2 linked regions of the Oryzias latipes genome follow. The protein of the gene in region 1 purifies or fractionates together with the protein of each later gene. This does not show direct contact. Links are inferred from orthologs where the notes say so. Each region holds a gene or a part of one and is shown on either strand. Other genes may lie near its edges.

Evidence for each region.
Region 2: the proteins of tumor necrosis factor receptor superfamily member 10B (region 1) and cflar purify together in Homo sapiens (affinity purification with western blotting; 5 studies listed by BioGRID and IntAct, with this or other methods). This does not show direct contact. The link is inferred for Oryzias latipes from reciprocal best matches to the Homo sapiens genes TNFRSF10A and CFLAR.

The regions. Positions count from the first base shown.
Region 1 is NC_019870.2:4,560,590-4,564,407, reverse strand, and holds part of tumor necrosis factor receptor superfamily member 10B, read left to right. Parts: intron 1-686; coding exon 687-852; intron 853-2,156; coding exon 2,157-2,288; intron 2,289-3,818. UniProt on the Homo sapiens protein: Receptor for the cytotoxic ligand TNFSF10/TRAIL. The adapter molecule FADD recruits caspase-8 to the activated receptor.
Region 2 is NC_019879.2:19,821,659-19,826,066, reverse strand, and holds the start of cflar (CASP8 and FADD-like apoptosis regulator), read left to right. Parts: upstream 1-1,543; 5' UTR 1,544-1,805; coding exon 1,806-2,107; intron 2,108-2,191; coding exon 2,192-2,294; intron 2,295-2,428; coding exon 2,429-2,564; intron 2,565-3,465; coding exon 3,466-3,515; intron 3,516-3,602; coding exon 3,603-3,633; intron 3,634-3,840; coding exon 3,841-3,887; intron 3,888-3,982; coding exon 3,983-4,061; intron 4,062-4,408. UniProt on the Homo sapiens protein: Apoptosis regulator protein which may function as a crucial link between cell survival and cell death pathways in mammalian cells. Acts as an inhibitor of TNFRSF6 mediated apoptosis.

The sequences.
Region 1 (3,818 bases):
GCATGGCAGCCCTCCACGGCCGAGCTTTCTGCTGCCGCCTTTTTCCATCTAAAGCGTCTCAACCCCTCTTGTTTCTTGTCGTTCTTTCCCTTTATCTCCTGACCTTGTGGGGAGGGGTGGGGGGTTGTTGATGCTCAGGAGAAGACAAAACCTCCCGATCTGTGACTCCGATTTACCCAGGGAGGTGTCACGTTGCGCTTCAGGTGCCTCGCCGTGGTGTCGCATGTCCCGGCATTCAAAGAGCCGGGCTTTAAGAATGTGGGTCATTTGAAGAAGGGGCAGTAAAGTGCGTTGTTTGCCAGTGAATGGAGCCTTCTCACGTTGACACGGTGAAAAGCGTGTGAACAAACACCAGGGCCTGGGGGGGGGGGACACGCTAAAGTGTTTGCCGTATTCTTCCCCGTACCCCACCTATACAAGCCTGTTATTATCCAGCGCATGAAAGGGGTCGCATTCGATACGGGCACCGGCTGCTGTCGGCCTGTTGCATGGTGGGAGACCTGCCTGGAGATGCGACCAGCTGCACGGCCCTCCTGAAGCAGATGTGCAGATCAGATGCTGCAGATTAAGACGTTTATTCGTCACACGAGGCCTCTAATGAAGACGTCTTTACTCGGCGGCGACGCCTGCTGCAAGGACCAAAAAGCCCAGCTCGCTTTAACCTCCTTTTTTCCTCCTCCACGCAGGTGGTGGCGCTCTTCGCGGGGCTCGTCTGCCACGCAGCAGAGCCCCCGGCATCTCAGCGGTCCGCCGGCGTCCACAGAAACGCCACTCTTCGGCAGCATCAGGCGCAGTGTGTGGAGAACCAGCAGTACCCCCACCAGGGGCTGTGCTGCCTCAACTGCCAGGCCGGTGAGGAATCCCCCGCCGCCCTGAAACGCTCCCCTCCTCCTCCTCCAACCAGAACATCACAGGTTTTCCATGAATAAAAGTCAGGAGATTTCTTCCCGGCTCATAATTGAGTCAAATTAATTCCATTTATTTTTTTTGCTGGACGTGAAATTGATGTGGTCACGGTCTTTTGCGCCGTTAATCATCCATACAGTGTTTCTACAAACCAAAAGAGCTCAAACCTTCAACTTTTAAACACACTTTTGTGTTTTTGAAGCCCTCACACCGTCTCAAAGCATCACCTTTAGTTTTTTTTTTTTTTGCCCCATTGTTGGACTAATTCAGATAATTACACTTTGAGATTAAGCAATTCCATCTGAAATTTCACCTTAAAGCCTGTTCCAGAACGCCTGCTGGCAGCATTCATTTGAGGGTTGAGATGCAGATGATTTGTTTTTTTATTTTTCATGATTTTACTCTGCAGAAATGTAGGAAAATATTAGCGCCTTTATGTGGGTGTAAAACACACCAAGATCTTTAAAGAAGGAAAAAAAAAGTAAAAATCTAAAGTTGTTATGACCAAACTCCTACAGACAAGTTGGAAAAACATAATTTTTTTGACTTGGAAAGTATTTTATTGTTACTTAAGTAACTTAATTTGGAGTTAAATTCAAAAAATTATGTTTTTAGGTTTGAGACAACAGATTTTTAAGCTGCCAATTTTCTTTTTATTAAATGAAATCCAATTTTCATATTAGATTTGTGTTCACTTTTGAGAATCTTTCCAAACTTGAGGATTAAAATGTCGTTTTTGATCTCAAAGTTGTTCTTTTTGTTTTGTAACGTCACCGAATGCTTGTTGGGTTTTCAACCGTCATGTCATAAACGGAACCAAGCTGCCCCCCCCCCCCCCCAAACCAGCTGGTCCAAATTACTTCGTTTTATTTCCCCACAAGCTTTTATGTTATGTGTGCAGCGTTCAGAAAAGAAAATGGTGGAAACACATGAGACTCAAGTGGTTTTATTCATGGCATGCATGAACTGATGGCAGAGATAAGCATGACAATCGGCTAGTGAAGTGGGTCGCTGCTGAGGGTTTTCTTGTAATCCCAGAGAAACGAAGACTTCCTGGAGGAGAAAAAGAAAATCTTTAAAGTTGAGTCGCGAACAAATCAAAGGAATGCTTAAGCAGCAAGCGGCTGCAGTTCCTGTCGGCGTGGACTCTGATACCGGAAGTGCTTCACACCAAAGAAATGAGTCTTTTTCACTGATCCACTCCAGGGTTTTTTTTCATTTGTGTGTTGTTGTTTTTTTTGCATTTGCAGGAACATTTGTGAAGAAGCCCTGTGAAAGAGACCAGCAGCAGGGGATCTGTGAGCCCTGCGAGCACGGCCAGACGCACACCGAGCACTCCAACGGGATGGGCCGCTGTCTGCCGTGCAACCACTGTCGCCAAGGTAACAGGCCTCCCTGCCTGCATCGTGACCGGCTGGATGGACGGTCATGTGAAACTCTGATTGCGTCTTTGACGGGCTCTTCCTCCTCTGTGGCAATTTATGTTAAAGTTGCAAATGAGTCCACCTCTTTATTTTGAAAATCACCTGGGCTTCCTGCCGTTTTCTGACACTTCCACAGTTTTTAAATGGTATTTGATGTGAACTCTTCTGTTTAATACCACTTAAAGACAGGCTCAAAGTCAATCTAATTTTTTATTATTTATTCAATCTCTTCTCTTTTCAGTTCCACAACACAAAATATTAAAAATAAAACTAATTAGAACTCCTTTTTTATATTCCAAGTACAGCCCTTTACAGGGCTTTACTGAGAGACAAAGGCTTTATCACCATTTAGGCAAGATAAATAAAAAAGAAATCTAAAAATAGAAAGGCAGCTTTCAAACCAAACTGCTTTTAAAATCAGGTTATTGGCTTCAGGAAACAAATAAAACCAAGAAAGTTCACTTTGAACAAATTTCTTTCCGTCTGTCAGAGTAAATTCAGTTTGAAACCACAGGTTTTTACTGTGCTTTAATTTTTCTGATTCTGCCTAATTTGTCCAAGTCGTCTTTCTTTTGGTCAACTATTTATTCCAAAAACATTTTTTTTTCTATGTTTGGAATTTAAAACGAGCAACGTTTAAAAAATGTAATAGTACAATGAGAAAGTTTTGCTTTAAAAACTGTTTTTCTAAACAAGCAAGTGGTCACTTCATGGATTTGGTGAATTAAAAATCACATTTTTTTCCATCGAAAAGATGGAACGGTGGAAGCAGAATGTTAAAAAGCCCGAAACTAACCTCCCAAACCTTTAGATTCAAAAAAATCAGATAACCAGAGAGCAGAAAATCACTGAGTCGGTCACAGATAGATTGTCTTAGGGAAGCTGATCCCCCTTTGTGTGTTCCCCCCGCTGAAATGGTGATCTTGTGATGTTCCGGAGCGGCAGGGCGTGTCTTTGTTGTTTTTGTTCGGCGGCTGAATGCGAGCGCCTTACCTGTCCGGGAGGGTTTGCCGGTGAGTGGGCCATGCCTGCCTGAACTGGGTGTGTCTGCACGTCATTGTCCTCCCACACTGACTGTCTTTGTGTCCAATGAAAGGCAGCAGCCACAGAAAAGAGACTCCTGTTACATAGGACGGGTTTTGTCCTCTTTTACTCCTCTTTAAAGATAGACCCAGTTTAATCGCCCGTCTGACAAAAGCAAACGTGGATTTTCAGTGAAAGGATAGCAGCTGTTTGTTTCTCCATGTTTAAAGTGATCCAAACAGGAAGTTAAAAAAAAGCTAATCGGTCAAATAAAATCCTAAACTCCTGATTTTAGTCTGACTTCCTGACTCCTGAAGATCTCTCCCCTCGTCCAATCAGACCTCCGTGTTTGCCGCTCAGCCGGCATGAAGGGGAGCGATGGGCTTTGGCGTTGGCACAACCAAAGCGAACACTCTGCCCTGATCACATTAACTGGACGGCAAACAAATGTGATGAAGTGCAGCT
Region 2 (4,408 bases), on another chromosome or scaffold:
AATAATTCACACACTAACAGCCAACATCGACTGTTTTAACATGAGACCAGGTATAAACACATCAGTTGATAGAAAGCAGAGTAAGATTACACTGCAAAGAAATTTAGAAGCACTTGAGTCAAGCATCAAGCGAAAAACGTATATATACTTCAATTCCTTGAAGTGTAACATATTTGTGACTTCCGATCAATATTTCAAAATAAAACAATTTTCATTTATTAATAGCAGAAACGTTATGAGGAGTTCGACTGGAAGTCACTCCGTACAGATACATGATGTATCTCGTAATACAAACAATAAACTAAGATATTTACATTTCACTGGGAAAACGAGGAACCTCGTTGTCCTGAGCTTCAAAAGCTAACCAGTTTTCCGAAATGAAAGCTGTTGTTAGCCAGTTGATTAAGGCTAGCTAACGTTTTTTCATATTTGCCACGACGGCTCTAACCTGTGCACCGAGCTTAGCGTCACCACGTTAGCAGAGCTTGCAGCCGCTAACATGCCTCTTCTTGTAAGCAGCTGGCGGGCATCTTCGTCTTTTTCTTTTTCTTTTTTTAACAGTCGTGACCAGGCCAAACCCACTTTTAAAAAGCCAGGCAACATCAATGGGACATGGTGGTCTCCGGTTAAATGTATGCTCCACTTGGCGACACTGATATTGATAGCCCTCTAGTTTTGCACATAGACACCAACACAAGTTACAACCTGTACTGATAATATTCCAAGTCAGTCCCAACCTTAAAGTCACAAAATGAATTTCTCTCAGCCACGAAAATGATACTCACTTTATCAACGGATACATGTGGGACAGTAACCGAAACGTCTGTACATGAACTAAGCGGGGTCACTATTTTCCCTGGGTGGTCACTCGGCTTTCGAAGGTGTCTTTCAGCCCTACCGTTTGCTGTGAACCGCACAGGTTTAAGTCATCTCCCAACACTGCAAGGATGCCGAACCAGGGCGCAACGCGATTGGCTGGGCTTGGCGGACATGGTTGCTGATGCGTTCAAAACAATTGGAAAACACACAGTCGTTGGTTTGGTACATCGTGTGACTAAAATCATCTTCGTGCTAAGGTAGAAATCATTAAGGCAAATATAAAAAATAAAATTGAACTTGGTTTATGTAAAATCATCCGACAAATCTATATCCAAATAATATATATATGTAAAATCTATGGATCAAATAAAATAATACAAATAACAGGATTTTGCTCCATGAAGTACATCAAATATGCACTTGCATAGCAAAAACCATGTTGCTTATTTGATTGTTCTTAATAATTATGTAAGAAAAATGCTAATATATGTCTTATTTGCTTTTAACATTAACTTAATTTGTGACATATACGTGTGACATTTTTCTGAAATAATATAGATATTTATAAGATAATTGTGTTGGTTTTGAAGATGAAAAAATAAAGACCATTATTTCTATAGCTTTAAAAAAATCTTCTTCTTTTTTTTAAGTTTCAGTTTCAATTTCGTCACGACGGTACTTTCCGGACTGGGGGTTACTTCTTAAAAGCTCGTAACAAGCCTACGTTTATATGTAGGCTCTATGAGACTCCGTCTGTTTCTTTTCTACTTAATGTTTTTACAGCTGAAGGCTACTTTTATTTTTACGTTAAACCAGGGGACTTCCGGTTATCGCGTTTGGATGTTTATGGACTTTGAGCTGATAGGAATTATCATAAACGACCGTGGTTTGATCTAGCCCCGTTAAATTAGTCAGTCTACAGTTTAGATACATTTTTTTAAATACTCTATTATTCTGTTTTCCGTCACCAGGCTGCTTCCGTACCGATGGCTGCTTTGGATCATCAACGTAATCATCTTTACTACATCAACAAAATAGTTGAGGCGCTGAGTAGTAGTGAATGCAGAAAGTTGCTTTTCCTGTGTGACAGCACGAGCGCAGACAGTAGTGTACAGTCCGTGAGGGAGACTCTAAAACTCCAAGTTACTTGCCACGACAATGCCAGCCAGTTCCTAGCAGAGGTCATTTGGCGCATGGGCAGATATGACATTTTGAAGGAGCTCTTTACTCTGAGCAGGAATGCAGTAGAACAGACTCTGGAAAACAGACAAGTTCTCTCAAAATTCAGGTAAAACCTTTAGTGTCTTGTTTTATGCATGCCTGCTTGTTTGTTAGGTAATTCTTTATTTTATTTTTTTGTTTGTTTTTGCAGAGTACTGATGGCCAACATAAGTGAAGATCTAGACACAGAAGACTTAGAACAGATATTGTTCTTATTAAGCACAACATTGCCACGTGAGAAAAGGGATGCAAAGGTAGAGAAGACGGATTTCCACTAGGTCAATAGACGTGAATGGAAAGTGTGAGTGCGTGTGTGGAAAACCTTTGTCATTATGCACTTTCACTCTGAAAAAGCTGTTGTTTTTCCCCCATTACTTTCCCACTGCAGAGTTTCTTGGACGTGATCGTTGAACTTGAGAAACTTGATTTAGTTTCCCCAGAGAGAGTGGACATGGTTGAGGAGTGCTTGAGGAACATTTGCAGGATCGACCTTGCCAAAAAAGTATCCACATATAAAAAGACAGGTACGGTATGCATTGTTATAGAAAAATTACTTGTGCTTAGTTTGAAATAGGAAGTTTGGGCTATGGGGAGAATGACTGATGGGAAACTAGGAAGTGGGAGAGTAAGAGGAAGTGTAAGAGGGAGGGTATTTAAAGACCCAATCTGAACATCTTTTAATTTATTTCATAAGCATTTCCAAGTGCTCTTTATTTAGTATTATGCAGTTTTTAGGCAAAATCAAAAAAAATCCATAATTTCTGCAGAGCGACAGGCATTTATTAGAAAACTCACCTCTGAGTGTGGGCGGGACGTTGGTGTGAAGTAAGCCCACCCTCCATACCCATCATCCATGTGTTACACTCTCACCCTCTAGCTCACATCCCCCAACACCCCCAACTTCACAATACCGGTGCAGCAAAAATGGCAAGCAATATTGGAGCTATCCAGCCGTACAGTTTTGAGTCAAACGTCAGCTCGGATGGAAAACAAAGACGTACATGGATCTATTTGTAGATGCATCCGAATTGCTGGGAGTATGGAGCTTGTGGCTTGCTGTAGTGGGTTTTACGTCAGAGCTACAAGCTTTTACCAACGGCATTTTTTCATCTGCTCCTGATTCACAATGATTTGAACAAAGAAATACTCAGCAACTCAACTTTCTTTAAATATGTCCTCCATCATGAGGACAATTTTCATTGTAGTAGGTCTATGAGAACCGGTAAATGAGCCGCGCTCTGTTTTTAAAACATCTAATTAATCAGTATTGACTATATTTATATATTAACAATGAGTCAAATACTTTTATACAAAGTTTTTTTTGATTGTTTTTGTTATAAACTAACAATAATTACTGATTTCACCTAAAAAAGAAACAATTTTCTTTAATTCTTTGTTACCAATGTTTGTTTATGCAATTTTCAGCTCAGAGATGTGACCATCATTCACCTCATCAGCAAAGTAGTAAAACCTCTGTAAGTAACACAACATTTCTTCAACATTTGTACTCTCATAATTGAATACTTTTGATAAAACATTTTCTTTTGTTGTGCCCTATTTAGGAAAGAAGGCAAGGAAAGGCCATAAACATAGGTGAGACACATGACAGCTAAATAATGTGTTTATGACAGAGATGTTGTTAGAACAACAAAATAGTCAAAGTCAAAACATGGACAGTGTCTAATTACAGTATTTTAGTGGGGCTTTTCAGTTACAACATTACAGTTGGAAAGCCCCAGAGTAAATGTAGGGTATTTGGGTTTGTATGCCCTTAATTATCATGTCACTCTCTCACAACAGTCAGAGAAAGCCCACCAACATCTGAATGCAGACAACCAAGCACTACGGTAAATTTCCACTCTAGTATTACCCTTTCTTGATCATTTCAACATGTTAAAACCACATAAAATGGTAATTTGTCAAATATTTGTTCACATTTCAGAGTCAGCTTGAGCAATACAGCTTGAACAGCAAGCCGAGAGGACTGTGTGTGATCATAGACTGTGTGGGTTTTGATCAAGGTGAGACACAAATACTTATGAGCATTAAAAAAAAGTTCTCTACACAAAAAGCAAGAATTGGAATGGTGCGTCTGTTTCCCAGTAGACATGTAACGGTTATTCTAAAAAGGTTGAATTTGTGGTTTCACTGAACAAACTTAAAAATTCCAGTTCAGTAAAAAAAGGAAATGAAAGAAAAATGTGTAGTTCCAGACAACATGAAACGCGAAAACAGCTGTCTTCAGGTTGGCTTCCTTCAAACGCCACTTTTTTTTTAAAAGTTATCTATATTAAATGGGAATTAGTCTTGGTAAGTTATTTTAGAGAAAACTACACATGCAAAAATTTTAGAAAATTGTTAGAATTCA